Regions from separate parts of the Mus musculus genome. Here all the other regions are reported to be linked to region 1. Evidence: microRNA targets listed by miRTarBase, many of them from high-throughput screens and not tested one by one. Region 1 holds a microRNA gene; each other region holds the end of a gene's coding sequence. Distances are from middle to middle.

What was found. Region 1 holds the annotated microRNA mmu-miR-3095-3p (UGGACACUGGAGAGAGAGCUUUU, at 2,507-2,529, opposite strand). A microRNA usually pairs through its seed, bases 2 to 8, with sites in the 3' UTR of a target mRNA and lowers its output. Matches are read on the target gene's strand: a 7mer-m8 pairs with bases 2 to 8, a 7mer-A1 pairs with bases 2 to 7 and ends in A, and an 8mer does both.
Region 2: miRTarBase lists Nebl as a target of mmu-miR-3095-3p. Seed matches in the 3' UTR shown: 7mer-m8 at 2,210-2,216.
Region 3: miRTarBase lists Slc25a41 as a target of mmu-miR-3095-3p. Seed matches in the 3' UTR shown: 7mer-m8 at 2,212-2,218.
Region 4: miRTarBase lists Ccdc97 as a target of mmu-miR-3095-3p. Seed matches in the 3' UTR shown: 8mer at 2,031-2,038, 7mer-m8 at 2,090-2,096 and 7mer-m8 at 2,593-2,599.
Region 5: the mRNA of Ago4 is a reported target of mmu-miR-3095-3p. Seed matches in the 3' UTR shown: 7mer-m8 at 2,108-2,114.
Region 6: the mRNA of Nr2c1 is a reported target of mmu-miR-3095-3p. Seed matches in the 3' UTR shown: 7mer-m8 at 2,922-2,928.

What each region holds. Positions count from the first base shown.
Region 1 is chr4:58,438,517-58,443,370 of GRCm38, forward strand. Mir3095 (microRNA 3095) reads right to left here and starts at 2,582; the gene lies at 2,496-2,582. All of the region lies in intron 3 of Lpar1 (lysophosphatidic acid receptor 1), which reads right to left.
Region 2 is chr2:17,344,716-17,349,569 of GRCm38, reverse strand. Nebl (nebulette) reads left to right here. Exons shown (of 26, transcript NM_001362722.1): 26 at 700-4,854. The coding sequence ends at 876. Among named protein-coding and RNA genes, the nearest start is that of Nebl, 120 kb to the left of the region's middle.
Region 3 is chr17:57,030,321-57,035,174 of GRCm38, reverse strand. It overlaps Slc25a41 (solute carrier family 25, member 41), which reads left to right. Exons shown (of 7, transcript NM_175333.3): 5 at 221-388; 6 at 1,308-1,455; 7 at 1,992-2,403. The coding sequence ends at 2,179. It overlaps Khsrp (KH-type splicing regulatory protein), which reads left to right and starts at 3,668. Exons shown (of 18, transcript NM_010613.3): 1 at 3,668-4,027. The coding sequence starts at 3,776.
Region 4 is chr7:25,709,700-25,714,553 of GRCm38, reverse strand. Ccdc97 (coiled-coil domain containing 97) reads left to right here. Exons shown (of 5, transcript NM_028771.3): 4 at 72-201; 5 at 1,441-3,442. The coding sequence ends at 1,561. Among named protein-coding and RNA genes, the nearest start is that of Ccdc97, 6.9 kb to the left of the region's middle.
Region 5 is chr4:126,490,068-126,494,921 of GRCm38, forward strand. Ago4 (argonaute RISC catalytic subunit 4) reads right to left here. Exons shown (of 18, transcript NM_153177.3): 18 at 1-3,264. The coding sequence ends at 3,156. Among named protein-coding and RNA genes, the nearest start is that of Ago1, 24 kb to the left of the region's middle.
Region 6 is chr10:94,194,192-94,199,045 of GRCm38, forward strand. Nr2c1 (nuclear receptor subfamily 2, group C, member 1) reads left to right here. Exons shown (of 14, transcript NM_011629.3): 14 at 986-3,023. The coding sequence ends at 1,160. It overlaps Ndufa12 (NADH:ubiquinone oxidoreductase subunit A12), which reads left to right and starts at 4,844. Exons shown (of 4, transcript NM_025551.4): 1 at 4,844-4,854. The coding sequence starts at 4,854.

The DNA.
Region 1 (4,854 bases):
ATCCTTCCACCTTTTGCAAATTATAAAGTTAAGTATTTATTACCAAATCTTATATTTCAGCTGCCCTGTAACCTAGGTCAATTCTCTGCTTTCTCACCCACTACTACTCTGAATTATTCAGATTTTTCTATAATTATGATTGCTTTGGAAATGCAGATGAGAAAAAATATCCCTTCTTATTTAGTTTCTGAGATCGCATTCCACCTGGATCTGAGGGAACATGAAAGCCATGAAATGATTCGTTAGCTTTGATGACTGTGTAATCGGGGCATGCGCTGGGGGTCTTCTACAGAAGGAATCAATCCAGTGGGGCAGTGTGTGCCATTACACCTCAGCTACCCCCCCCCCATTGGATAATCAGCTACGTAGTGAACAGAGAGAGGGTGAGCAGGGAGAACCCCCACACGCATTTGAATCTTCAGATGCACACAGTGGTTCAGGTTTCAGTGGCGTCTTCAGCTTGAACCAATCTCAAGGAATGAGTTCATAAAAAGAAAACAAATGTGATTTAGTCTCCAAACAGCCCAGCTTTGAATGTGAGAGCCTCCCCCATCTCCTTTTGCACCCTTTCAGCGGGGAAATACAAATAGAGCAAGAAGAAAAATACCGTATAAAGCTCTTTGTTCTGTACCACCTATGTGTATTGGTTTTAGACTGCTGTTCACTTTGAAGGCCATCCAAGGTGCTTCGTTTTTCTTATAAATACAATACCTTAGACACTCCTCAGAGAGGGAAAACAATATTCCAAATATCAGCAGATAATAGCCACGGCTCTATCTGACCCTCAATAAAAATGCTAAGAGAGCCTTCATTCCAAGCCCTTGAATTTCCTTTATTGAAAATCACTCAGAAAGTTAAACATGAAGGGAAATCAAAAGAATGCCTCCTGGGTTTCAGAAATAATGCCTTATTCATCGAGAAGCCAGGAAAGAAATCATTCTCAGGATGGAAAAGGCTTGGATGGGAAAGTGCACAGTCTCATTATTCATCTACTTATCACACACACACACACACACACACACACACACACACACACACTCGTCATGAATGGAAAAACAATCCTAAATGTTCCTTTTCCCCTTCCCTTTATCAAAGCTCTCATTGAGCTCAAATTCAGAGCTTGGCTGGCTACAAGCACAGACAGATATATATTAAATAAAACTACCTCCTTCTCCCTGTGGGCGGCAGAGAGGAAACACCCTTCTTCCCAGGCTGCTTCACTTTGATCAGAAGAGGATCTAAGTACTGTCATGGGCTGTTCATGATTTCTTAAAATGCAAAAATTCAAGAAGAACAAGGTCCTCTTAGGAAAGAGATGGCCTTAAAAAAGAGACTTTGGACTTCACTTTTAGACAGAAAAAAAAAAAAAAGCACCCTATTAGATTTGGCCACAGGAAATGGGAAATGCTCCAGCCTGACAGAAGCTAACCTATGTGAACACTTCATGCAGGAATTGGAGTCCTCTCCGTTCTTCACTGGAAGGAACTGTTGTTATAACTGTGATTAGGCCAACCACACTGTCTCAGACTCTTCATGATTCAATCAAATGTCTCAGTGATAGCCTCAGAAATCCACATTAAAAACTGATCATATTAGCCTGCGTGGTGGTGGCACACACCTTTGATCCCAGCACTTGAGAGGCAGAGGCAGGCAGATTTCTAAGTTCGAGGTCAGCCTGATCTACAGAATGAGTTCTGGGACAGCCAGGGCTACACAGAGAAACCCCACTCTGAAAACAAATGAATGAAGAAAAGAAAAGAAAAGAAAAGAAAAGAAAAGAAAAGAAAAGAAAAGAAAAAGAAAAAGAAAAGAAAAGAAAAGAAAAGAAAAGAAAAGAAAAGAAAAGAAAGAAGGGAAAGGAGTGGAGGGGAAGGGAGGGGAAAGGAAGAGGGAGAGAGGGAGGGAAGGGAAGGAAAGGGAAGGGGAGGGGAAGGGGGAGGGTGGAGGGGAAGGGGGAGGGTGGAAGGGGGAAGGGGAAAAGGGGAAGGGGGAAGGGGGAAGGGGGAAGGGGGAGGAACAAAAAGTGATCATGTGGACCTTTCCTCTCCCCTTTCCCTTCTCTTTTTGGGGTGTCCTGGATCACACTGACCCAAAGACAACAGTGTATTATAAGAGAGGAGCAGGGGGCTGGAAAGTCCAAGGTGTTCAGGCTCCTAAATCATAGAGAATGCATAGTCTGAAATCAAGTCTTCTCACGTCACCAATTTCCCTCTGAGCTTCTAAGAATCAGTCTCATCTGTGTGTGTGTGTGTGTGTGTGTGTGTGTGTGTGTGTGTGTGTGTGTGTGTGTATGTGTGTGCGTGCGTGTGTGTGTTTAAATAAGTACTTAGCTCTAGCTGAGTGGGGTCACCCTCCAGAGGTGCATCACAGGCTATGTCCAGACTGTAGTTTTGGTTATGTCCTTGTAAGACGTGTGGATGAGTTGAGCAAACCCCTATTTCATTATCTGTGAAGCAGAGAAGCAACAGCTCTCTTCCTACCCCACAAGGCATGAGGAGCGACTTGCAAAAGCTCTCTCTCCAGTGTCCACTCCCTGAAACCATCTCGAGTGTCACAGATGAGAAAGCTTGTGCACAGGGCTCTGGGTGGATCCTCGGCGAGGAAGAGCAGGAGAGCATGATACGAACCATGAAGGCTTGGCATTCTCAGAACTAGCTACACATCTTCCCAGACAGTCCCAGGACTCAGAGTTGAACACGAGAAAAGGAAGGAAGAGAGGAAGTGACACCGCTCCCCGTGGCTCTGCAGCTTCTTAGTGCCACACTTGACTAGATGGAAACTAAAAATAATATACAATTCCAGAGCCAAGGCTGCTTTGGTGTTGTTTATCTCTGGCCTACTTCTGATGGCAGACTCTACAGACCAAGGCACAAACCTGAAAAGTGGTATGGAACAGTATGAAAGAGAGAAAATACAGTTTGCGGCTCCATATTGTAAAGCCAGGAGTGCAGAAGATACGAGGTCTAAGGTCATGAAGACCTGGTATATCAGGCTAAGACATTCTCTCTCCAGCCTAGAACTGGTTCTCAGCCTGTATCACATGTAACAATGATGCAAACGAGACTTATAAGGAATAATGACCTCCACTGTAATCTTACTGGCCTCAACGGTCAGGTTTTCACTTAGGATACAGATTAGTGACAGCGAAAGATGGAAATGATGGAGATAAAGAGAATTGTGTCTGTGTATCTATGTGTGTCTGAGTGTTTATGTGTGTATATAAGTGTGTGTATGTGATTGTGTGATTGTGTGTTCATGATTGTGTCTGTGTATACAAGTGCTTGTGTGTGAGAATGTCTGTATATCTGTATGTGTGTGTCTGTGTGTATGTATATGTATGTGTGATGTGTGCATGTGAGTATATGTGAATATGTGTACGTGTCTGTGTATATGAGTGTATGTATGTGAGTATATCTGTGTGTCTGTGAGTGTATATGTGTGTGAGTGAGTGAGTGAGTGTGTGTGACTGTGTGTGAGTATATGTGATTGTGTGTGAGTGTGTATGTATGTATGTGTGTGAGTATGTGTGTCTGTATCTGTGTGTATGTGTCTGGGTATATCTGTGTGAATGTGTGTGCATGTATATGTGTTTGTATGCATACATGTGTGTGTGTGCATGTATATGTGTATCTCTAGTTTCTAAAACAAGAATAAGTAGAGCCTGAATCTGGGCAGCAACATAGAGCAAGAAGCTGTCCACTGTTGCTCACCACTTCCATCAATAAAATGCAAGTCCAGCACCCTGCTAGGCTCCTCAAAGGTTGAGTCCCAGGAACCATGCCTCTCGGTGAATAGAAAGTTCCCTACAACTTGTCACAATCACAAAGAAGGTGGAAGCAGGAGGCTTCAAAATATATCTGCGGGTTGCCTGTCCTTGAACCAGCTTGGATTCTTTCTTATAGTCTGTCAAAGCAATCTGGGAGGGCCTGCTGCCCGAAAACAAATGTAAGAGACCCTGGAATGCTGGTGCAAGGGTCAGGGAGGAAATGGGCAGCTTTGGAACAACAGGTCCCAGCTGCAGAGCACAGTCACGTGACCACACCTTCCCTCCAAGCAAGGCGTTCACTGCCTGCTCTCTGAATCAGTCGTTTTTTCTAGAAGTGCTGTTTCCTAATGGGTTGATCTTTGCTTCTTTGCTTTCATATGGAACACAAAACCAAAGCTAAGAAGGGGCCAGAGAAGCCTCCTAGGGAGCCCAAGAGTCTGGGTGAGCAGGGTAGAAAGCATTGCCAGTCTGGGCTGGAAAAATTGGTTTTCACAAAAATACTCAGGAATTCCACAGATTTGGAACAAGTCAAAGTAGGACAATCCTACACTAGCCCTACACCCAAGTTAGCATCTTCAAGGCCTGACTCTCTTCACTTCTCAGATCAGGATGTCAGAAGCTACTTTCCCCCTAGTGCTGTCGAATTTGTGTATTCCATCCAGACAGGCCAGTTGCATCCCAGAATACAGTCAAATTTCAGTCCATCTCTGAAGGACATTTTGATTTTGCCGAATCAGTTCTTAACTAACGTATCTTAAAGGAAGCTCAGGTAGTGAACCATAGACAAAATAAAACTTATCCATTGTCCTGTAGCTACGGAGTCATTTCGATGTAACTATATGACGTAACTACATGGGTCATTATGATATAACTATATGAGGTCATTATGATGTAACTATATGGAGTCATTATGATGTAACTATATGATGTAACTATATGAAGTCATTTTGATGTAACTACATGGGGTGCTTTTAGGCAACAGTGGGGATTGAATCTAGAACCTCATGGATGCTAAGCAAATGCTTTATACTAAGGTATATCCTCAATGTCTTTAAATATTATTTTGAGAGAAATTCTTATCAAGCTAC
Region 2 (4,854 bases), not on the chromosome of region 1:
GAGGTTTATTGATTATTAATATTAGACAAACTCTTAGACTTGAACTAAAACAAATATAAAAATGCAATTTAAGTTTTTTCACTGTAATAAAAATTTCTTTATATGTATCTCAAAAATCAGATGTTTATGTAGGGAATTTATGGCCCTGTGATATGATATGTATAATGTTTAAGTAAATAGATGAGTTTTATAATATTTTTTTGGGGGAGGAACAAAAATTCTTAGTATTTACTTAGGAAAAGTTCACTTTCTGTGCAAGGGGAAAGCCATTGGCAGAGAGCCACTAGACTACAGGCCTGCTGTTAATGGGGGAGGGAGAGGCTTAATCTCCTGAAGAAAGAAGGGAACTGAAGAAAATCTACATCATCTAAGGCTTCTGGGATTTTTTTTTTCATGCAGGACCTGGTGTTATTCCTTTGAAGGTTACTTTTAGAGAGGCACACTATTTTATTTATTGTCTTTTAAAGTTAAGGTACTGTGCTATCTTTCTGGACCCTTGCTTTGACCTTAAATATGTTTCCTCTAGATGGACAAAGTTAAGATTTATAGAATAGGTGATACACCTGGTTTTGAGCTGCCCAAAGATAGCAACACCTGCAAACACTCATACTCATCACGTGTGTGGTAGTTGGTTATAGTCCAGATTTGTATCTTCTCCTACTTTAGAATACCACATACAATCACTTCATTCTTTTTCAGAGGACCTACCGCGCCATGTACGATTATAGCGCCCAGGATGAAGATGAGGTCTCCTTCCGAGATGGTGACTACATTGTCAACGTGCAGCCCATTGATGATGGCTGGATGTATGGCACCGTGCAGAGAACCGGGAGAACGGGCATGCTCCCAGCAAATTACATTGAGTTTGTGAATTAATTCTTTCTCCTTGCCCTTCGAGCTTTATTATGATGTATTCCAAACTCAATCTTTTTAAAAGATAGATGATACTTTTCAGATAACTTGGCAATTATTTTACAATAATGTATCCTTACTTTGACAATTAGACACACAGGTACCAGGAAAAAAGGAATTGACTTTCAGGCTGGAAATGGCAGCATCCATAGTAATTCCTGTAAACAAAACCATTAGGTCTGGAGACCTGGTGCTGCTAATTGTGTTTGTGGTTTCATTCAATTGGCTATCCAACCCTTCTGGGAAATGTATTTTTGTAGACTTTAATAGAGATGTTGATTGTCCCTTAAGTGTAACAAATGTATGAAATTTCTTAGCTGTCACTTGGAATCATCCATAGCTAATTCTCATAGTCCAGCAACACATCCAATAATTTAAAAACTGTTCAGCTTTTAAATCATTGGATAATTTTCAATTCAAGGGAGGATCACCTAATATAATAAATAAATGGAAACAGTGGCAGAATGGGTCTGGTTAAAATCATATTGACTGTAGCCTTAGGGAGTCGGCAGGGAACTTAGCCTTTCCCTAGGCTGAGCGGGAGCTATTTAGTTCTCATGTGCTTCATGGTGTAGCCTATCTCCATTTATGTTCTGTGGAGCAGTGCATCTGCTCAGGTCCCCAGAATGTCAGGACCAGGTAACTTCCCAGCTTCTCTGCAAAGGGCAAAGTCTAATGTCATCTGTACTATTTCACCAGTAGCCTCTATCCTGTTGCATGTCTGTGGGCGTGAGCTTCTGTAACATGGCAACATCTGTAACAGCTGCTAGCCCATCCTTGTTACTAAAGTCAACCGTATGGCCACTCTCTCCCTGCCCTTCTTCTAGTTGCCCGCTCATTGGAAAACATTTTGAAAAGTTGCTTGAGGCTTTCTTGCTGCATTACACTCTAGTTTTGAAAGACTCACACCTTAGGAACTACATATATACTCTAGTAAATAGGAGACTTATGTATTTACTGGATAGCTTTCACTCACTTAATGCCACCATTGATTTAAAAGTGGAGTGAATTGAACAGCCTCGACCGTAAGCGGAAATGGAGTATAAAGTAGCTGAAAACCAAAAACACAGAACAGCAAAGGTTTGCTCACAGTTAGACAATCTGGTCTTATACTTTGGTAATCAGTCTTCAGATGCTGGGATAGAAATCTGGCCATTAAATATGTTCATAAAAAGGCTTCCCTTTTCCATTCCCGTTTTTGTTTTCTAAGTCACCTTCACGATTAGATTAAAAAAAGTCATGAGTGATTTTTTGGTGGGGAGGGATGTCCAACAGATAATCCACTAAGGAAGAAATCAGTGTCCGGTTTTGAGTAGTTTGCAGGACTCACACACTTGTGAGTAAACTTGTCTGGAATCTGCAGTTGAAGTCACCTGGATGTTGACATTTATTGCAACTCTGTTTTTTCATAGTGCCTCTGACTGTGACTTGCAGCTTGGTGGCATTCTTGTAAGCTCTGAAAATGAAGAGAGTAAAGTCACAAAAATATAAGAGGATACTGCGACTGTGGGAATATCTACTTTACACAATATGCTTAAAGAAATAAACAAAGCATCCACAACAAAAACCATTCAAATGAAATGTTTATAAGGCCAAAGTCCAAAGTGGGTTCATGTAAATCTTTAGAAAGTGAGCCCATACTTTTGAAAAATATTAGTTTTCTTAGATTTGCTTTAAGGAAAAGTTTTGTCACACTAAGCTGTATTTCTGTGACACAGATAGAAAATTGAAAAGGAAAATTCTGCAGATAACTAGAGATTTTTCTGGAGAGGTTGTTTTTATAGACTCATAAGTAAGTAGCTTACCTAATCTTCACGTAATTTAAGTAACCAATCATTATTAACTTTCCTAACTGCTTTCATGTCTTGAACACACACCTACAAAGATAAACTGCACTTGCAATAATTTGCAAAAATCTGTACCCGAAAAACAAGGGTGATAAGTTGCTTCATTTATGTGATATGTCTTTTATGCTTCCAGAGGCAGACCATTTGTGTGTGTGTGTGTGTGTGTGTGTGTGTGTGTGTGTTTGTGACTATTTTTCAAAAGTAGTCAAAATTAAAATGTTAGGATAAATGCAGGGCAGGTATGATTTTGATCATAGTATATGTGTAGGAATCTCAACAGAAGCCAACTTTGAAATGATGCTTAACATTTGCTTGTCCCCACAAAGTAGTGACTCTATGGTCCATGTTTTTGCCACTCATTAATTTCAAAGTCAGACTTGATGAGTGTGAGAGTCAGTACATATTTAGGAGATAGCCGTTCTAAATATTGAGCTTTGCATAATGTTTGCTTAGCAAGATATTTCTGTTTCAAGTCTTTCAGAATTAAGATATGATCTGGAGCTGGCAGCTGTGGCTCATACCTTTAATCCCAGCACTCGGGAGGCAGAGGCAGGCAGATTTCTGAGTTCGAGGCCAGCCAGGTCTACAGAGTGAGTTCCAGGACAGCCAGTTTTCCATACAGACCAAGGCAGAGCAATATATGGCATGCTTTCGAGATTATGCGTCGAGCCTAGATGTGTCATAGCCAGGTGCCATCTTTTGCAGCATCTTTTTAAGAAATACTATATTCTTAGCACCTTTTTCGCTTTCCACATGCCTCCCTCCCACGTGCAGTTTGGCAGTCAATATGTCACATGTAACATTGACAGCAATAGAAGAATTTAAGAACAAGCCCCTTAGAAATTGGAGTCAAAGGAGACTAAATGCCAAGCACAGAGGGCACGCACCTCTTCCTATCTGATGGATTCCAAGCTTGCCAGGAGCACAAGAAGGTACTTGATACACTTCTCAAAGTCTCTGAAAACAAATGCCTTTGGTTCATAGTCCTCTTGAGAAAAGTTTAGAAACTTGATATAATGCTTTTGCTATAAGCTTTTGTAGTAGATTTAAGAAAAAAAGCATTTGTTATCTAGAAAGCTTTTTCTTTCTAGCCTGTGACAAAATATCTTCCTATCTTCATTTTGCTTGCACATCTGCAGCACAGCCCAGTTTGCAACTTTGATCTGGTTTTCATTTTCCATGGAGGCTCTGCCTCTTCCCATGTCTCCCAGCCTCCACACAGCACCCAGGAATGTCTAAGCACAATTTCTACAAGCATCTTGTAAGGGGGATGGATGAGATTAGTCCAGTTTCTCTCTTGCTACTAGGTCCTTTGCTTGAAGATGATGAAGATGTTTTTAGTTAGGGATCTTCTCTCTGCTGGAGGCCTATAACACTATAGGAATTAGGGGAAAACCTTTTCCATAATTGAGAGCAAGTGACACACCTACTTTTCAGGTTCATCCACCTCCAGTGGAATGTTTTCAGTCAAATGAGAAAGAAAATAATTGATCTTTAATAATACAGCCCTATATTCAGTAGATGCAGTTTATACTAAGGTTACAATATAAATATATACAAAATAGGTGCCTTTTTGATTATGCTTGTTTATCATTATGGTCTTAGAAAGGAAACCAAGCAAGCAAGCAAGCTTCTGCATATTCTATAGTAATATTTTATGATACATGATCAATATTTTTGTGGTGAGAAGTGGGATACCCTTGAAAGAAAGATACTACAGGTGGTAGCTAGTTGTATTTTCCTTCTAAAGGTTTATAATACTAGAAAATGCTGACTTATTCAATTTTCTGAGAAGTTTTTTTGTGGATTTATATATAGTTGAGATATATAGGCATTAAGTTTAGGTTTGGGGTTTAAAATAATTATGGTGAGACAGACTAGCTATATTATGAGACTGAATTCACTGCATAATTGAACTTTATGACCTGATTATATTTTAACTGTTTGCCTATGATAATCTGTTTGTGGCTTGTGTTGCGCTGATAATCTAAATTATCATTGCATTGTATGGGGTAATAAAACATGATGATAGAGCTTCAGTTAAGCAGGAAGCTATGTAAACCTTTAAAGATGCTAAAAATGAAGGTCTTTCTGA
Region 3 (4,854 bases), not on the chromosome of region 1:
GGATATGTTAGCAGAGAACCTGGGTTTAATCTTTTAAAAGCTCAACAACCACAGGTATTATGTTAGAGTGAGAACCTAGCTAGTGGCTCCCTCTTTTCCACATAAGTGGCCTATCTCATGCGGCCTATGCACAATTGAACCCTTGACAATACCTCCACCTACAAGTGTGTGACAGGTCTGTCAGAGAGTGTTTAACCAAATGGATCTCCTCCTGCTCCAGGTACTCAAGACTCGGCTGACCCTTCGCTTCACTGGCCAGTATAAAGGGCTTCTGGACTGTGCCAGGCAGATCTTGGAACGGGATGGTACCCGAGCCCTATACCGAGGCTACCTGCCCAACATGTTGGGCATCATCCCCTATGCTTGCACCGACCTAGCTGTTTATGAGGTGTGTGTCTCCAGAGGGGAGAACATGGCTTTGGTGGTCAGCCTGTATCTCTCTCTCTCTCTCTCTCTCTCTCTCTCTCTCTCTCTCTCTCTCTCTCTTTGGTTTTTCGAGACAGGGTTTCTCTGTATAGCCCTGGCTGTCCTGGAACTCACTCTCTAGACCAGACTGGCCTCGAACTCAGAAATTTGCCTGCCTCTGCCTCCCAAGTGCTGGGATTAAAGGCGTGAGCCACCATGCCCGGCTCTCTCATTTTATATGTATGAGCACAATGTCGCTGCCTTCAGACACACCAGAAAAAGGCATCAGATCCTATTACAGATGGTTTTGAGTCACCGTGTGGTCGATGGGAACTGAACTCAGGACCTCTGGAAGCGCAGTCAGTGTTCCTTCTCTTAAATCTTGGTTTTTTTAGACTAAGACAGCATTTGGATGCTGGGAACTGAACTTGGGTCTTCTGCAAGGGACAAATGCTTTTGACCTGGGAGCCATCTCTCCAATCCACTGTTTTTGTTTGATCCCGACACCCAGACAGGATTTCTCTGTATAGCCCTGACTGTCCTAAAACCCACTCTATAGACCAGGCTGCCCTCAAACTCAGAGTTCCAAAGCCTGTTGTTTTTTAAGATAGGGTCTCACTATGTAGCCTTGTCTGAACTAGAACTCAGTATGTACATGGAGGCTAGCCTCAAATGTAAAGAGATCCTCCAGCCTCTGCCTCCTACTGCTGAGATTAAAGGTGTGTGCCATCGTGTCCAGCTGGTTTTGATTATGGGATTGGGTTTTAGTATGCAGCCTTGGCTGTCCCTGAACTTGGAGACCCACCAGCCACTGATTCAACACTGGAGGGACTAAGGTGTGCACCACCATGCCTGTCTTGACTCTGAGTCGGTATCAAGAGCATTCTTGCCTCCTTTCGCAGCTACTCCAGTGCCTGTGGCAGAAGTTGGGCAGGGACATGAAGGACCCCAGTGGCCTCGTCAGCCTGTCATCTGTAACACTGTCCACGACCTGTGGCCAGATGGCCAGTTACCCACTGACTTTGGTGCGCACAAGGATGCAGGCTCAAGGTCAGCCTGGCTCCAGGAGCCATTACACATAGCTGTTCCTTGCCTCATTCCAGCTCTCTGTATCTTTTCACCTTTCCCACCAACTTTCAGCCTCTCTATAACCCATTTAGAACACCTTTGCTAAGTACTGAACCCACCAAAGCTTATGCTCACCCCTAATCTAACCCTAGCCCTCAAGTTAACATGCCTATCACCCATCACTTGGAAAGCCAGCCTCAGCTACTTTGAGGCTGGGGCTCAAGGTACAGAGTGTGCCTTATATGCATGGGTTCAATCCCCAGTACCACATGAACTGGGTGTGATAGTGCTGTTATTCCAGTAGGAGGTACATGCAAGGGAATCAAGAGTTCAAAGCTAGCCTCAGCTACATATGGAGTTCTAGGCCAATCTGCACCATATGATACCATGTCAACATACATACATACATATATAACAATAACCAAATGATCTCTACAACATTCCCTCAGTGTGATCAGATCCTTCACAGTGAATCTCACATCATACCCAGTGCTGACCTTGTCTATGTCTATCCCCAGACACTGTGGAGGGCTCCAACCCCACCATGCAGGGAGTCTTCAAGAGGATACTGAGCCAGCAGGGCTGGCCGGGGCTGTACAGAGGCATGACACCCACTTTACTGAAGGTGTTGCCAGCAGGCGGCATCAGCTACCTGGTGTATGAAGCCATGAAGAAAACCCTGGGTGTACAAGTCCTGAGCAGATGACCTGCCCTGAACAAGAAGAGAATGGAAGACCCAGTGTCCCTGAGTCTCAAAAAGCACTCCAAGGCTCAGGCTTTAAGGCCATTTTGGTTTGCAAAAACCACCCAGGACTCGGATTAGAAAAGCGCTGGGAGTCCTCCAATTGGGATTCTGAGTTGGGATTCCAGCCGGGTTTTTGCAGGCTTGTTCAAGAGAAGATGCAGACAATGAATAAAGATAGTTTTGGACGTCTGTGTCTGAGATTAGCTGGTTCTGGGTGGGAGCTGGGAGATGGGGTGTATCGTCTAGGGTGCTTGCCTAGCATTTATGAGATCCTAAGTTCAACCCCCACCCTGACGACTTGGGGATCAGGAGGACCTGAGATTTTGGGGTCCAGGCTAGGAGCTCTAGGGGTCTTGAACTCCGGTAAATGGACCTGGGACTTCTGGGCCCAGGGTGGCAACTGGAAGTTTGGACTCCTGTGGGAACTTGGGGTTCCTTCTTAGTCCAGGGTTGGGAGCAGGAGACTTGGACCCCTGTGGGGGGCCTGGGTCGAGGTTGGGAATAGGCTTGAAGTTTGAGGAGTTGGTGTCATGAGTCTTGGAAGTGAAGGTCCTTTGAGGGAAAATCTTCACCCAATTTCGGGCCACCACTCCCCCCACCCCCCAAGGCTTCGGGCAGGCCACGGGCAAGGCCTCCCCAAGCCAGGCTACTGGGGCGCTGACTTAAGGTCCTGCCCATAGTTCCGGCTGCTGAGCACTACCTCCCACGTCCTCTGCCACTCACTTCTGCTCCCACTAATCCGCTCCTGCCGCCTGGTAGCGGGTTCCACCCCAATGCAGATGCGCTTTCACTGGCTCTCAGCAAGCGGGCACTATTACTTCTGTTACTGCTATTTGTCCACAGAGGGGTCAATCATTGAACGCTTGCCCTTGTCGCTCAGCCATTGGCTCAGAAGTCAGAGGACAAGGATTCTGAGAAAAGTCACGTCCAAATCCAAGCGCATCCTCCAAAATGCTTCGGGGACTGGATCAAATGACTGCCAATCTTAGCAAGCACCGCCTCCTAAGTGTATTCATTAGCTGGTGTTGACGACTATCTTGCCGAGCGCCCGCCCAGCTCATCCCAGAGAATTTTCATAGGCTCCGCCCTCAAGGCCACGTGACTGATCAGAGCCGTCACTCTCATCCTAGAGCCGCCCCGAGAAGGTGGAACTCGCGCTTCATTGGGCCTCCTGACTTCTCGCGTGACTTCCAATTGCCCGCCCAGCGCCAGCAGCCCTGGGCTTATTGAGTCCTATCTTCGTCAGTCACACCGCGCCTCCCGCCCCCTGCATCTTCCGAAGCTCTGACTGGTCGCCCGGATTTACGGCCCACGATTGGCGGGCGTAGAGTGGTAGCCGTATACTACTGGCTGTTCCTCGGCGTCCGTCAAGCCGGTGGCGGGAGGAGGTGCCCCTCTTCCCCCTCCGCGACCCCCCCTCCCCGTCGCCTTCCCAGCCGCTGGCTTCCCATCGTGCTCCGCGGCCGTGTGGAGCGAGGCCTTGTTCCCGCGTTGAGCCGCCGCCGCCTCCGCCTCCTCAGCTTGAAGCCTCCGCACCAAGCCCGTCCCCGCCGCGCCATGTCGGACTACAACACCGGAGGTCCCCCGCCCGGCCCGCCGCCTCCCGCTGGCGGCGGAGGGGGAGCCGCGGGTGCGGGAGGAGGCCCTCCGCCGGGCCCGCCGGGCGCGGGAGACCGGGGCGGCGGAGGCCCTGGCGGCGGCGGCCCGGGTGGAGGAGGCGCGTCCGGGGGCCCCTCACAGCCTCCCGGTGGCGGCGGCCCTGGGATCCGCAAGGACGCCTTCGCCGACGCCGTGCAGCGGGCCCGCCAGGTGAGGGGGCCGCGAGGGCGCGTGCGCGCGCGCGGGGGAGGGGGCAGCGGCGCGCGCGGGGTCGCGGGAGGGTCACGTGGGCGGCGGGCTCGGGGCGGGGAGTCTGGGGCCGTCACGGTGTGAGGGTGACCCTCTGCGTGCGTGTAGTTAAGGGTGCGTTGAAGGGGGGATCTCCGAAAACTAGACTTTGCACTGGACGGTTTCTCTTGGGTACCAGGGCTTGCAGCCTTTGGGGTCCCTGAGACCCACCCCTGTACTTGCACCAGGTCTTCTCTATTAGGAGGGTTGCAGCTTTGGAGTTCCCACGATTTTTTTCCTGGGTGTACTAGAGGATTCCTCTAGGACCCATAAAGGTTGCAGTCTGGGACAGTGTCCCCAAGAGCCACCCCCCGAGCTTGCACCCGTTATTTCCATTCAAGATATAGGGTTTGCATTCTGAGGACCACTCTAAAGTCCAAGACTGTTTGTGATTTGGAGAGGTCTCCTAGTTTTCCAAAGGCCTGAGCTTGAATGTTATGAGGATGTCCCCAAGAATCACTCCTGGGTTTTCACTTAGGCACCCCCTTAGGACCCATGGGGTTCTAGAAACTGAGGCAGATCTGTAAGAGCAATTCCTGAGTTCATGAAGGATGGGGTCAGAGATGCTGTGAGACCCCTCTTTGAACCCTTGGAGTCTTAGGGTCCCCAAGGGCTTCTCAGGGTTTGTAAAGTTGCATCGCAGGATGGTAGGAGACCGCTATTCAGAGACCTGAGGGTTCAGAATATATTAGTTCCCAAGACGGAGTCCTAGGTTTGCACAGGGACTGAGCTTGGCCGTATACTTAGAA
Region 4 (4,854 bases), not on the chromosome of region 1:
CTCAGCAGCACGGGCTGGGCATGGGGTGGTAACCTGTCTCCTTCAGGCTGCCCACCTGGGTATCTCCGCAGACCAGAGGTCGGATAAAGACTCGGAAGCCTGGGTGCCTGACTCGGAAGAGAGGCTGATCCTTCGCGAGGAGTTCACCAGCCGCATGCACCAGCGATTCCTGGACGGCAAAGATGGGGGCTTTGACTACAGGTGCCTCCCACCCCCAGCCCAGCACCTATGGTCCCAGGCAGGTCCCTGCCTTTCCTCAGACAGCCTTCCTTCGCAGTGCTAGAGTGCTCGGGAATAGTTCCCCACTGAGGGACCTGGTGTCAGTCACTCTGGAAGTTTCAGATCATTGAGGGGAGGTGGCTGTCCCTCTCAGAGCCTTAGCCCCTTCATCTGTAAACGAAGGGGTAAACTGAGCCAACATTTAACGCAGTGTTGACGAAGCATTAAATGAAGCCTAATGGGGCACACCTCATCCCAGCACTTGGGGGACAGAGGTGGTTGGATCTCTGATCCAGCCAGGGAGACATGATGAGACCCCCATCTCAAGAAAAAACAAGAGAGGGGCTAGGGGAGGGAGGGAGAGAGAGAAAGATAACATACCGTCATCCTAGTCTGGCAGTTCAGGACCCTGCCTGCTCACATCCAGGTCCAATGACATGGGAACTGTGTCCACAAATAGCTTCATTATCGCTGCCATAGCGACCATGCTGGGATCCCACAGCTCTGACATCAGTGATGTTCATCCACTGCTCGCTGGGGCCACCAAGGCTATGCAGTGTTGGCTCTGGCACACTATGAGCCAGCCCCGCTACTACACTAAGTGACCCCGAGGACACCAGAAGAGGGGGCCCAAGCCTGTTCCTTCAGGAGGGCAGCAGATACCCAAATGTGTCCCACAATCAGTTTACACTTTTGTACATCTGCTGTGTCCAGACCCTAGGGTTAAAGCAGGGATGGATGTAGCCAAGGATTACCTTCCTGAAAGAAGGAAATCTCCCCTACAGCAGGAACTGCCCGACTTCCACTGGTGAGGGAGCTCTGAAGACCGTGCGGGGGAGCAGAGCAGTGGTCAGAGCCTCAGTGGGGTGTTTTCTGAGCAGCTCTGCAGAGAGCAAGGGTGAGGACAGGTGCAGGCACCCTGAGGCACAAAGGAACTCCAGTGCTGAGGCAGGACTGAGACGGCTCATCCCACAGGAGTGGAGCCTTGGTGATTCAGGTCACACAGTGGAACTGGGGTGGGTGCCACATAAAAGCCAAAGCCTTAGAAGCCCGAGGGCTGTGGTGTCGTCACACCTTCCGATCTGTCAAAGAAGCAGGCATTTTTTTATGTAGGCTGATTGGGAAAACACCTCTTTAGGATTCCCAAAGGCACAAGCACACTCAGGTGGTCAGTTCCCGAGCTGGGTCTGCTATGACGCCTGACAGCTTTCTTCTCCGCAGCACGGTGGATGACAACCCTGACTTTGACAACCTGGACATTGTGGCCCGTGATGAGGAGGACCGGTACTTTGATGAAGAGGAGCCTGAGGATGTGTCTAGTGCAGAGCTGGGTGGGGACTGATGGCTCTCACCCTTGTAGCCACCCCGCAGGCCGCTGGCTAAAACCGGCTTAGTGACTCAGGCCCCTCTAGACTTGGCCCACCTCAGACAATGCCTCCACTTGTGTTTAGGGGTTCCCACTCCTCTCTGGGAACATTACTGCTCCTCTGGCTCTGGCCCCACCTGTCTTTTCTCTTTGAGACAGGATCTTATTATATAACTTGCCTGTGTTACTTGCTTTGTAGCCAAGGCTGGCCTGAAACTCAGTCCTCCTGCCTCGGCTGCCCCCAGGTTGCGTGTACAGGCGAGTCCCTATGCCCTGTCTACCTGTCTTGTTCTTACTCACTTTCTCCCTTCATGCCACTGCCCCACCTCTCGCTTCCTAAGTCTAACCTCTGCGCATCCACCTTGTACCCATCTGTGTCACGGGTGCTGTGCCCACAGCAGGGCCCTAACAACTGTCTGGTGGCTGCAGCTGCCCCATGGATGCTAGTGTCCAGCTCCACCAGAATGCCAGCGCAGCTCTTGAGTTTCTCCACCTCTCTCTGCCAGTGTCCTACGCAGGGCCCTCTTGCTTCCCCCAAGCTCCCACCTTACCCTCCATGCCTCCCCACCCTTGTTCACGCCCATGGATCCCCTGGCCTTGATGTCTGCCCCTCTTTCTCAGCCTTTACTGCTCTGGCTCTCTGGGTCCCCCTCCCCAGGCCTGGCAGCCAAGGGCATCAGAAGCCTTCCCTGTGGGTGGAGGTTAGGGGAACCCAGGTGGCACCAGCCTCTGCTGCTCCTTTTTGGACACTAGCTGGGAGTGCCGGCAGAGGCAGGGCTGGGTACCACAGGGCCAGCTTGAGTGTGGGAGGAACTTGAAGAGGGGGACTCTCCCCTACCAACCCCCCCTTTCCAGCCACAGTTTTCCTTTTCCTCACTTCCTCCACCTCCACCTCCCTTCCCTCTCCCTCTCCCTCTCCCTCTCCCTCGCCTGTTTACACTCCCCAAATACGCACAGGCTGTTATCATGGGTCTTGAGTCATCACACACAGACACACAGCCTGCCCCAGTGTCCCTGCCCCCAGCTGGCCACAGGGCCCGCCCCACAGAGCCCCCTGCTGCCCTGGGCTAATGAAAGCCAGATGGCTGCCTGTGACTCAGCCATGGCCTGTGGGAACCCAGACGCCCTACCTTCCCATGCCCCACACCCGGCCCCTGCGTCCCCAGCAGACAGAAGCAACCTGCTCCTGTGGGGATGGAGGCCAGCGTGTCTGGGCCTGAGAATCCAAACTGCTGTGGCACTGAATGGCAAATGGCTGCATTCTGCTCTGGCCATACCTGAAGGAACCTAAAACTGCTTTGTAAAGCCAAGGTCCTGACCCTGGGTCTTGGCTCTGCCCTCTGTATCAAGTAAACTCACCCAGTGGGGTAGAAGGTGTTCTCTTAAACTGTTGAAAGATCCTCAACAGCTCAGCCTGGGCCAGGCCTGACTGACACCTCCTAACAGACCTGGAAACAAGACTGTTGGTCGCCACTTGTCTCAAAGGATGGAAAGAACCCAGAAGTAGCCATTTGCATCTTGAGACCACCTGGTCTCCCATGCAGAACCAAGACTGGAACACACTTGGCCAGTGTGCCTCCATGTGTCCTCATTGGACAGCGGTGGAGATCCGAAGACAGACTTCCTCCCATCTCGGGGGACTGTAGAAGGTGCAGGTGTTGTGGTACACAGTATGGTGGCAGGTGGTGGACTGTTATACCCCTACCCTTACCTCCCCAGAGGACGCAGTGAGTCCCCAGCTGGGATCCCACCACACTGGACAGGAGCCAGGAGTGCTCTTTTGGGAAGTTGTGGCTTAGGTATTTTTCACAGTTGACCAGTGTTCTGTCCGATCATTAAACTTATTTAAGATAGAAACTGCCATCCATTCATCTGTTATGTAACTTTCTAAAAGAGCTGAGCTGCACAGCCATTGAGTCAGGATCTGGAGTTAGTCAAATGGCTCAGATGAGCCTGCAAATGAGAGACAGAGGTGGGGCCAGCCACCAGGACAGGGATTAGATGAGGAGACAGGAAGAAAGGTGGAGACAGAGGAGGGGGAAGAGGCGGCAAAAGCACACCCCGCTTGCTCGAGCAGCCCCCACGGTGGCTGGCGCCACTGCTTCTGATCTGGATCCTGGGGATGGGGTGGGCGGAGAGGCTGAGTCAGGGAGGGAGAGCCCCTCTTTGGGCATCCGGCCCCCACCTCCATGTCTCCTGTTTGTCCTGCCCTGGACAGGTCTCTGCTGGCTGCTGCCATGCACCAGTGACACCCCCACCTCTCTGCTGCCTGCTCCCCCAGCCTCAGTTCCATTGTGGGGAGGTCCCTGCCTGCCCCACACTGTCCTCATTTCCTACCTATCCCATCTGTACCCCTGTGACTCCCATCTTCTCCCTTTTCTTCCTGGCTTCTGTCATTAATCCCCAAGCACACTTCTCCCTTGTCACTCACCAGGCTCTGACACCCTTGTCAGTAGCCTGACCCCACCCCCCACCCCAGCCTGTACCCTCATTTTTTCCCGTCCCCCTGCTGTCTCCTGGTCCATCCCCTTCCCTGCCTGTCTCTCAGACCCTGGGAAATCCAGGTCAGAGCTCTACTGGTGGCCCCTAAGAGCCTAAAACAAGGGGTCACCACCTTGTCCCCACCCACGAGAGGAGAGCAAGACTGCCGATCTGTCTGAGTAGAAGGAAATGTCTGTGCTGTGGCCTGGTCATCCCCCACCCCCCAGGACCTGCTGGGCTGCTGCCGCCCCGAGTAAACAGCCCTGGGGATATTTATACCAAGGCCGGGCGTAAGGCCAGTGCCCACCACAACCCCTGCCCTGCCCTACCCGCTGCCACAGCCAGCCCCGAGCCAGCGTGGCACCCGCCAGCAAAGGGACACCGCAGACAGGCTCCACTCAGCACAAAGGCCAACCAGCGCTGGTCATACAACAGCCTATGGCTTCACATAATAGGAACTTTCCCTCCTCTGAAAACATCAGCATATGGTGAAGGGTTGCCCCCTCCCCCCCATCCTAATGCAGACACCTCCAAACCCTGTCAAAGGTGACCCATACAACTCACAAGCTGAAGTCTCCAGCCCACAGGTGGGCATACCAGTGCTGGGTCTACCTGCTCCAAGTTCCCCACCTTAGCTGAAACCAGCCCAAAAGGACATGCAGGCCTCTAAGCCCCATGAGGCTTCTCACACAGACACCAAGTGTGCTGGAGATACCACGGATACAAACTGTGAAATGTGTGTTAGACTATGAACAAAACATACTTATCACAGAATGCTGCCCTTGGGG
Region 5 (4,854 bases), 68 Mb from region 1:
GATGAGCCTGGTTAAAGCAGTAGGTAGCTGAGCCAGGTGGGTAGGCTTTGACCTAGGATATGGGCTGGACCCCGGACCCTAAGGTACAGACCCATTTAGAACATCCCTGCTTGTAAATCATCTTTGGAAGCAGCACAAAGAACTTAACAGTAAGAACAAAGGTGGTTCGCCTGCCCAGAATGCTGACTGCATCAACTCAGGATTCAACAACTAACAACAAAAAAACACAATTGGTTCAACACTTGGGTCTTTCCCGTTCTTAATGTCCTATGCTCCCTAGCCCCAAAAATGTCATTCTTTAGAGTTGCCGCACCAAAATCTTCCACACTACATGACAGTACCTAAATAGGCTGCATTTAAAAGAACCAAACAGCCTAACACTACTAGAGAATGCACACCTCCCAGTGATTGACACATGCATAACAACTCAGTCAGGTTTTTGTTTGGGGGGGTGGGGGGAGGTACCTATTTGAATTGTCAACCCCAGTTAAGTTAAAACTATGCATTCAGATTTGCTTACGGTGGTATTACTGCAGTTCTGATTCTCAAGTGATCACCTCTGGACTGTTCACCCCTCAGCAAGTTCCCCTCCCCCAAGTAATCCTAACTCTTCCATATTTCTTTCCACTTGCCCAGAACAACGGCTTCACACACTTATTGATACCGTTTTTTCTACAAAAGTTGGTCTCCTGGCTTTTCCTCCAGCTCCACACGGATTCACCCCAGCATACTAGGACCGGCAGTGGTGTTTCAGGCATATCGCTCATGGGCAAACCTACAACTCAGTTGCAGGACCGTGGATGGGGCTTCCGGGCACACAGCTCGCTCACTGTTCCATCCTGTCGGAAGATGGCTAGAGTCTCTTCTGTGCATTGTCAACAAGCAAGCCCGAGGCGCTCCTGTGCAGGTACGGTGCCTTCTGTCAGCTGCCAGCCACCGAGAGTTCTTCACATCACAGACTCCAGGCAAGTTTTCCTTTTCCTAAAAAGGCTTCCTTTGTTCCCCCTCCTCTTGGGTCCAGAATGTCTGTGCTACAGAGCATTTTCTGTGCTTTCCCTGAACAGGTGTGAATAAAAGCGGCAGTCAGCCATTCATCAACATGTCTGGATTTGTATTATCCCAGGGAGGTATTTGCAGAAAAAAAGGAAGATCTCAGGGAACGGACGTCTGCTGTCGCTTCACGCCTGTGTTGTGCTTCAGTCACAGGACTTGCTTTTCCCACTGTCTGCAGAGATTAAAGATGTCTGCACCCATCCGCATGTGCTATAGGACTAGACGGACATTATAAACTCTCTCGGAGACCAGGCTCAGCAAACACCAGTGGCACTGCTGAGCGACTGCACACAGAAATGTAAACATGAATGTATCTACACACTTGCTGAAGCCACTGAAGGGAAACAGTGCTTTCTATTGCTGGGATTCTGAGAGGGCCCATTTAACAGATTTGAACCTTGGACCAATTAATGAGTTCAAGCAAACACCCTTTCCCATTTGATCCAGTGTTTCCCACCAATGGTTTCTACACCGAGACTGCAAAATTGCTTTTAGCATATTGTGCCTGTCTCTTCCTTCCCCAGCACCCTCCTCAGCCATGAGGAGTGTGGCTCTACAGAGAGCCTCTTACCTTTTACTCCTTGACCTTCCAGGTTAGAGTAAAACATGGGCTGGAAACCGTGGGTGCAACTACCTTGACTATGTAACACTTGTCCTTTACAAGGTATTATCTACACTAAATACAGAATACATTTTCCCTATGTTCTAACTGTTCTTGCTTTACATCAATTCCCTTTGTTTGGACAAGAAACGGAATCCTGTCTTCCTGTGAGGGAATCTAGAATCTGTTACAGAAAAAGAAAAACAACAACAACAACAACAACTTCTACAGAGTTTTAGTTGAAAAAGAGAAAGGCAGAGCCACCAAGCACATTTCAGGCTGTCTTGTAGGCAGCCGTGTGTGCACCCCTGATTCCCAGGGAAACCAGGTTTTCACTGGCTGGTACTTTCTTTTCAAGTGCAGTACTGCTCAATGTGCCTTATGCATCGGCAAAGCCTGACCGATCACAAAGCATCCTGGTTCCAGCTTCTTTTTTTTTTTTTTAAAGTGACAGGACACTGACTATAAAATAAGTTTTGTTTTGTTTTGTTTTAAAAACAATTATTTATAAGGACATTGAAATCTGTGTCTTTATAAACTGGTTTCAGAATATCCCAGTTATGATATGTAAGAAATAGTTGATAAAATCATACTGAAATCTCATCTAGAAAACGACGTCAGGAGAAAGGGCAAGGGCCTTACAAATGCTTATTGCCAAAGTTAACTTTCTATGAGAGAAGTTTAAAGATCGTTTAGATCTAGCATACCACACAGCAGCATAAAATGGGCATGTTTGAAGATGTGGAAAAATACTAAAAGCTAATTCTCTTTTTCCAAATATGGAAAACATGGGTACTTTTTACCACGGCAGTGTATCTGTCCCTGTGACACACATCACATCTGCTTATGTCACAGACTCACAAAAGCCAGTCAAGTAAGGGAACTGCCTGTTCGAATCTGCAGCCAAATATAGTGCAATTGCTGGGCAGCCTGTACCCCACAGTGCAGGCCCGAAGAGATCAGTAGAACAGTGAAGGTAACAGAGTTCTGTAAAACTTTCAAAAGCTGATGCTCCTTAAAGGCATTGACAGTGGCAAAGTCAGAAGTAAGAGGTCTATGGACCCACCCAATTAAAAAGTTACATGGAAATGATACAGGCCGTTTGGTTTCTCTCTCCCACTTATGCACACCATTCAATAAACACAGAAAAAAGGAAATACTCCTCTTATAAGACTAGATGCGGTGAATACCACAGCTAGCAAAAGATTCCATAGAAACCCTTCTTGGAAAGTCCTTTAGAAAGTCAAGGCTGATCAGCCTTTGCACGTTGAGGTAAAAATTCTGCCCAGTGCATCAGAAAACACAATCTATGAGTATCTATTTCTTTAACAAAAAAACCCAACTGGCTCAATTTTGTTGATGTATCAGACAGGGCTGCAGAGTAGACTCAGTGCAACCATTCTGAGCTGCTGGTAGGGACCACCTGAGAGAGGCAGTAGGCGTCGGAAACATTTTGAGGATGCGTGAGATGCCAAATTTGTTGAGTTCTTTTCCAAGACTCTCAGGCAAAATACATAGTGTGCTGGGTATCATGGTGGATCTGCACAGCCTTAGCCAAGGCCTGAGGATCCCGGCCGTTGCTCTGTCCTGACACGTGACTGCCTTCCGCACTGTAATGAAAACAAAACAAGAAACCGGGCATTAGCAGAGGACAACTTGAAACTTCAGTATTTCAAAGAGCACAAACAGTCTTGTATTCAAGAACATCTTGGCTGAAGCCTGGGCTACTCAAACAATTTGTTTCCTTAGACACGTTGGTTCAACTGAAAAGTACAGTACAGCTTATTTAATGGGTGGTTGCAATAAGTAATTAATGTTCACAGAAGCCAAGTGTCTGAGAGCACCTATGAAAGGACTTCAGTGCCCCTCTCTCTGCTTGGTCTCTACTTGTTCTTCAAGCTTCAATTACAAGTCAAGCCCCTCTTAGAGACTACTCTGACTTCAAAGTCCAGGTCAGGGTCACCTAGAAAGTGTTTTCACAGAGTACTGTGCTTTCACACACACACACACACACACACACACACACACACACACACACACACACACACACGGAAGCTGAACAACGCTCTACTCGATGATAACTTGGTCAAGGAAGAAATAGAGAAAGAAATTAAAGGCTTTTTAGAATTTAATGAAAATGAAGACACATCACACCAAACCTTAAGGGACACAATGAAAGCAGTGGTAAGAGGAAAACTCATAGCTCTAAGTGCCTCCAAAACGAAACTGAAGAGAGCTTACACTAGCAGCTTGACAGCACCCCTGAAAGCTCTAGAACAAAAAGAAGCAAATACACCCAAGAGTAGTAGATGGCAGGAAATAATCAAGCCAAATAGACACAAAAAGAACTATACAAAGAATCAACAGAACCGGTTGATTTGAGAAAATCAACAAGATGGATAAACCCTTAGTCAGACTAACCAGAGGGCACAGAGACAGTATCCAAATTAATAAAATCAGAAATGAAAAGGGAGATATAACAACGAAATATTTCTTAAGATAACTATTCTGTTTGTTGAATATCAATAGTTGAAAATATTAAAATCATGTTCTACAAACATCATGGAAATATTGTTGATAATTTTTCTCACTGTCTTGAAATTAGCATTTTCTTAATGTTTAACCTCAAAGAGCTTTTGAAATTTTTGCTTTTTGTTTTTTGTTTGTTTGTTTGGTTGGTTGGTTGGTTTTGGTTTTTTCCAGACACGGTTTCTCTGTGTAGCCCTGGCTGTCCTGGAACTCACTTTGTAGACCAGGCTGGCCTCAAACTCAGAAATGCACCTGCCTCTGCCTCCCAAGTGCTGGGATTAAAGGCGTGCACCACCACGCCTGGCTAATTTTTGCTATTTTGAAATTATTAAAATACACTTACTGATAAAATAATTTCTCTCCTAGAAACACTGATAATCTTTTTTAAGTAAACTAATTGTTAGACAATGTACACAGATATATAACGCATTTTAAATACTCTCTCCCTATGTCAGATGGTATCATGTAAGAGCTTTTGAGTATATTTCTTAATGTTTCATTTTTAATATTTTATGCTCTTTTACTATGCTTAACTCCCAAAGAATATTTTGTATGTTTTGAAACAATTTAGTATTAAACATTAGATATAAGATCCTCAGTTATGGATAGTATTAAATATTCATTAATGGTATTTTTAGGGTATGAAAGGATATGAATATAAAAGTTGAACA
Region 6 (4,854 bases), not on the chromosome of region 1:
TATGTCTAACCCGTAACTCCTGCTTTCCTTTCCGATGGCCCAGAGCACAAGAGTAAGGATGCTTTCTCCGTTTCTTACGTCCCTGCTTATTCAGAAGTCGGTCCCCTTGAACAGTGCTTTTTCATTTCATTTCCTCACAAGCTAATGGTCTACCTTTATGAACTTACTCCCAAACCTAGAATTGGACAGGAAGCAATCCTTCATCTTCACACCAGCTCTGTGAAACGCCTGGAGGAAGTAAGGGGCAGTTGAGTCACTGTTTGAGACCAGTGGCCTTTTTCTCTATCCACGCTTGTTATAATAGTATCAGTTATCTGTTACGTCATTTCGATTACGTCATTACGTCATTTCTAGGATTGTGTGTGTCTGTCTATGTCTGTGTCTCTTTCTCTGTGTCTATGTGTATCTGTTTGTCTAGGTATGTCTGGATCTGTTGTGTCTATATGTATCTCTGTGTCTGTTAGTGTGTCTATGGGTGTTTGTGTGTGTGTCTTTCTATGTCTGTGTCTCTGAAGAGTTGTCTATGTATATCTTTGTGTCTAAGTGTATCTGCCTGTGCCTATGTGTGTGTAATCTACCCATATGTGTGTCTGTACCTGTGTCTGTGTGTCTGTGTGTATGTATGTGTCTATGTCTGTGATTTCAAAAGAAAAGATTTTTTGAGCCTCCTGTGTTCTGATAATATAAAGCATTGTTCTTCCCCTCTGAAGTTGGGAAGCTGTTCTCGAGTGTACCTAACCTGTGGTTTAATACTGTAGTCCCACGGTTCTTGCAGCCAGGCAGGGACTGTGTGGTGGGGCAGTTCAGAGCAAGGCTTTGCTGTGCAGGGGTCAGTATGCTGTAGATGGCAGCCCTGCCACTCTAAGCCTTGGCATTCCAAACTACTCGTCTTCGTTTTGAAACTTGGATCTCTATTATTTCACATGGGTGCTTTGCATTCTGCTCAGTCTCTTTTGACTTTGCCTGTCTCCGCTTCCTCTTTCAGGCTGTCGCGATTACTTCTCAGACTGCCCGCCTTGCGGCTGATGAACGCTACCATTACTGAGGAGTTGTTCTTCAAAGGTCTCATTGGCAACGTACGGATCGACAGTGTTATCCCACACATTTTAAAAATGGAGCCTGCAGATTACAACTCTCAAATAATTGGTCACAGCCTTTGAGAGCTGAGGTCACCCCGCTATGAACTAAGTTTACTGTTCCTTCTCGGGACACAAGAAACCAAATGGAGCTGTTGCTTCCAGGGAGTCTGCGAATAGTAACTGTAAGAGTAACCAAAATTGAAAGTATTTTTCTTTTGGATTCCTTAAGAAGAAATCAAGCGACCAGGCAGGGGTCAGGAAATATACTACCCTGTCTGTCCTCTAGGGATGATTTAAAAAGGTACTGGGCTGCTCTTGGTGAGGATGACACCTAAGACTGTCTCCTCCTGACCATCTACACTAAGCTTTCTCATTCTATTTTATAAAACAAATAAACTAGTCTTTTCCCCCCTGAATTGCGTTCTCTTCCTGTTTAATTCCATTGAGCCAGAACATTAATAATTAAACACCTAAGCAGGGACTTCTTACATCTTACTTATCCATAATCATTTTAGTTACCAGGTCAAAGGTTATCTTATGCTCACTTATATAATGATAATATCAGAGCTATAGGAAGTAAGAAATGAATATATATATACATATATATATATATATGTATATGCTTTTATAAACATCAAGCATATAACACTCTCGTTGCTGGCAATGAGACACAAGCCATTTGTATTTTCTTTCATAGTGTAGTAGATTATTAGTTATAAGCACTTTTATTCATTGCGGTAGAAAATTAGTCTTGAGAATAAGATGGGGATCCTGTTTTAAATTTGGGGGTTTACTGTGTTTTAAACATAGTACAGACTGCCCCCAGGATGTATTAGTATTTTAGAATGGATACTAAAGTAGTTGCTTTTTTCATTCCACAGAAAGCATCTATCCTCTTCTCAGACGGGGGTTCAGCTTTTTCACCCTGCCCTGGCCTTTAGCCGTTTTTATTGGGTCCTTTTTAAAAAAACTCACCCAGTTTGCTAAGTAATGCAATTATCAAAGCCAATATGGTTCCAAGGTGAGTTAAATAATTCAAGCAATTGATAATTCATAAAGGCAAAAGACTCTGCACTGATTCTTTTCCCTGCAGAGCCGAGGAAGGCTGCTCTAACAACCTCAAGTTTCATTATTTGCTACAACCAAAGCATTTTAGACTCCTCAGTCTTCCACACCAATATGACAGGCATCAGTCGCTCTTTGTACTGATTTTATAATGGATTCCTTTAGTAAATCTGTTCATCTATTTGTTGATCTTCTCCCCCCATCTCTCCTCTTCCCTTTCTTCTTTCTCCCTCTCCCTCTCTCCGTCCTTCTTTTCCACATCTCTGTTTTGTTTTCTTGAGACAGGATCTTGCTACCCAGCCCAAGCTGAACTCAAGTTTGCCGTTATCTTCCTGCCTCCCACTCCCCGTTGCTGGGATTATAGACATGCACCACACGCTGGTATTTATTTTTCAAACACAGAGATTTTATTGCAGTTAGATTACATTCTTTATTATTAATAAAAAGTTTTGCTGAATTTTTCTATGGGGGGTGGTGGATTTTACTACTAACAGTAGTAACAAAAAGTTTAAAAGTGTAGTCTTGCAAATGTTACCAACTTACTAGGAGGGCTTTATTTCCTGTTTCATCCTGTCAACAGTTCTATTTATAAGAAGCTGCCAGGGAATAGTGCATAGAGCATAAAATGCTCACGCAGAAAGTCTCAGTAGGGCATGTGTAACCTGCATCCCAGCACATCTGTAGATGACGATGTCATATCACAGTGTCAAAATGTTGGCTCCTTTGATACCTTTATCATCTCAAGATAATAAGCCAAGGATTCACCAAAAAAAAAAAAGTGTCCTAATGGTTATTTCTTTGAGATATTTTTCCTGATGAAATTTGTAGTTACATTGGGAAGTCTTTTTAAAACTGTATTAAAATGTGACTTGCATTACAAATTTCTGTATCCTGTCAATGTATTTTATTTCAATGACCTATTTATTTGGTGATTGGATGCCCTCTGCGTCATAGGGCATCCCAGTGGGAGAGCTTGTGCTTAGGTTAGCATTTACAAGGCCCTAGGTTCAGTCTCCAGCAGTAGAAGGGAGAAAAATCATATAAGCATTTTAAGAACAAAAATAATGGCAAGATGGCTTAGAGGGTCAGAGCACTTTCTGTGGAAATGCAGCTATCTGAGTTCAGTCTCTTTCCTTTGTGCTCCCCACACACACATGGAGTTTAAGATTATATAAACAAAGAAAACCTGCATCGATTTGAATAAGTACATAAAGCATAGAGAATATGATTTAACTAGTTTACTGTTACATCTGTGTAACAGTACATTTACATGTACATATACATATAAAATGTAGTCAAGAAGCAAGAGCATCAAGTCTAGGTAATAGTTGGGAAGGGAGGAGGAAGGTGCAAACGGGGAAGGATATAGAAGGGGCTTCAAAACTATTGGCAGTATGTCAAGCATCAAGGTTTTGCGGTTAGCCACCCCAAACCTACCAGTTAGAAGTGTGCATTTTCACATGAATGTATAATACAGACAGAGGTGGTCAGGGACAACCTATCTCCATTCAGTCAGAACAGGGGTCTGGCAGAAATCATGGGTTTAAATCTCTGTAGTCACTGAGTATTAGTGGCTGTTAGCTGGGACTTGCAGTGGGACAGAATCTGGGCATGGCCAGAGTCTCTCTGTTCTGCTCCTTACTGCCTACTGGCTGTGTTCTAAGGGAAAGAGCTGGAGGCCAATTTGCCTTCTATCCTGCTATCAGAAGTCTCCTGTGACTCCCCTGCATTCTAGTCATCAAAAAACATACATATTGTGAGGAATATGTAAAGACACACAGGGCTTGGAAACAATATGCAAATAACGCAAAATATTTTTAAAATGAAATTAAGAATATTAGCTGCTCTTGCCAAGGACCTGGGTTTGATCTTAGCCTACCTTGCAAGCGTGAGAAAAGAAGTTACAGCTCAGAGCCCATGTAGAAAATTCGGGTATGGTGGCACCTTTGTAGACTCAGTTCCAGGGATGTGGAGGCAGGTGTATTCCCGAGGTTCGCAATCTGGCCAGCCTTGTCGACTTGACACTTAACTATTTTTAATCTTTAATTTTATTAATCCTAGTTTCTTCTTTCTTTTCTTTTCTTTTTCTTTTTTATGGCTAGGGGTTTGCCAGTATTGTTTATTTATTTTATTATTTTGTAAAGCACTAACTCTGTGATGAAGTCTACCTAGTGTCTGTGCTTACACCTTGCAACAATAAAATAACAAATCCTTCAGGTATTTTACTTAATCTTATTCTTTGCAATTCTTCATCACTCATCTACCAGCATACCGACGCTTAATGAATTCAAAATCATACGCACTCTGTATTAAATGTACAATACCGCTGTGGGGTCAGTAATGCATTTCTTAGCTTCTAGTGCTATAAGGAATTTTTGGAATGTGCGTCATCGTTGTCTGGAGGAAGAAACTTATTTCGACAGGAGAAACTCCCATCTGGGAAAGCTTTGCTTGGCGTACTTCTCCCCGCAGGGTCGCTTTCTGGGTACAGCCTCCGAAAACATTAATTTCACCTTTAGGAAGACACCAACCTGTACTGTAAAACCCCAGATAATCCTCCCTGCGCGACCTCCAGCTCTGCGCCTGCGTAGAACGACCTCCGCGGCCGGTTGACGAGCAGGAACCTCCAAACGGTGGCGCCTTGAGTATCTCGTCTTCCGCCCGGCGGGTTTTACCCGAACACGGAAGGGGCGGACCATGCAGATGAGAA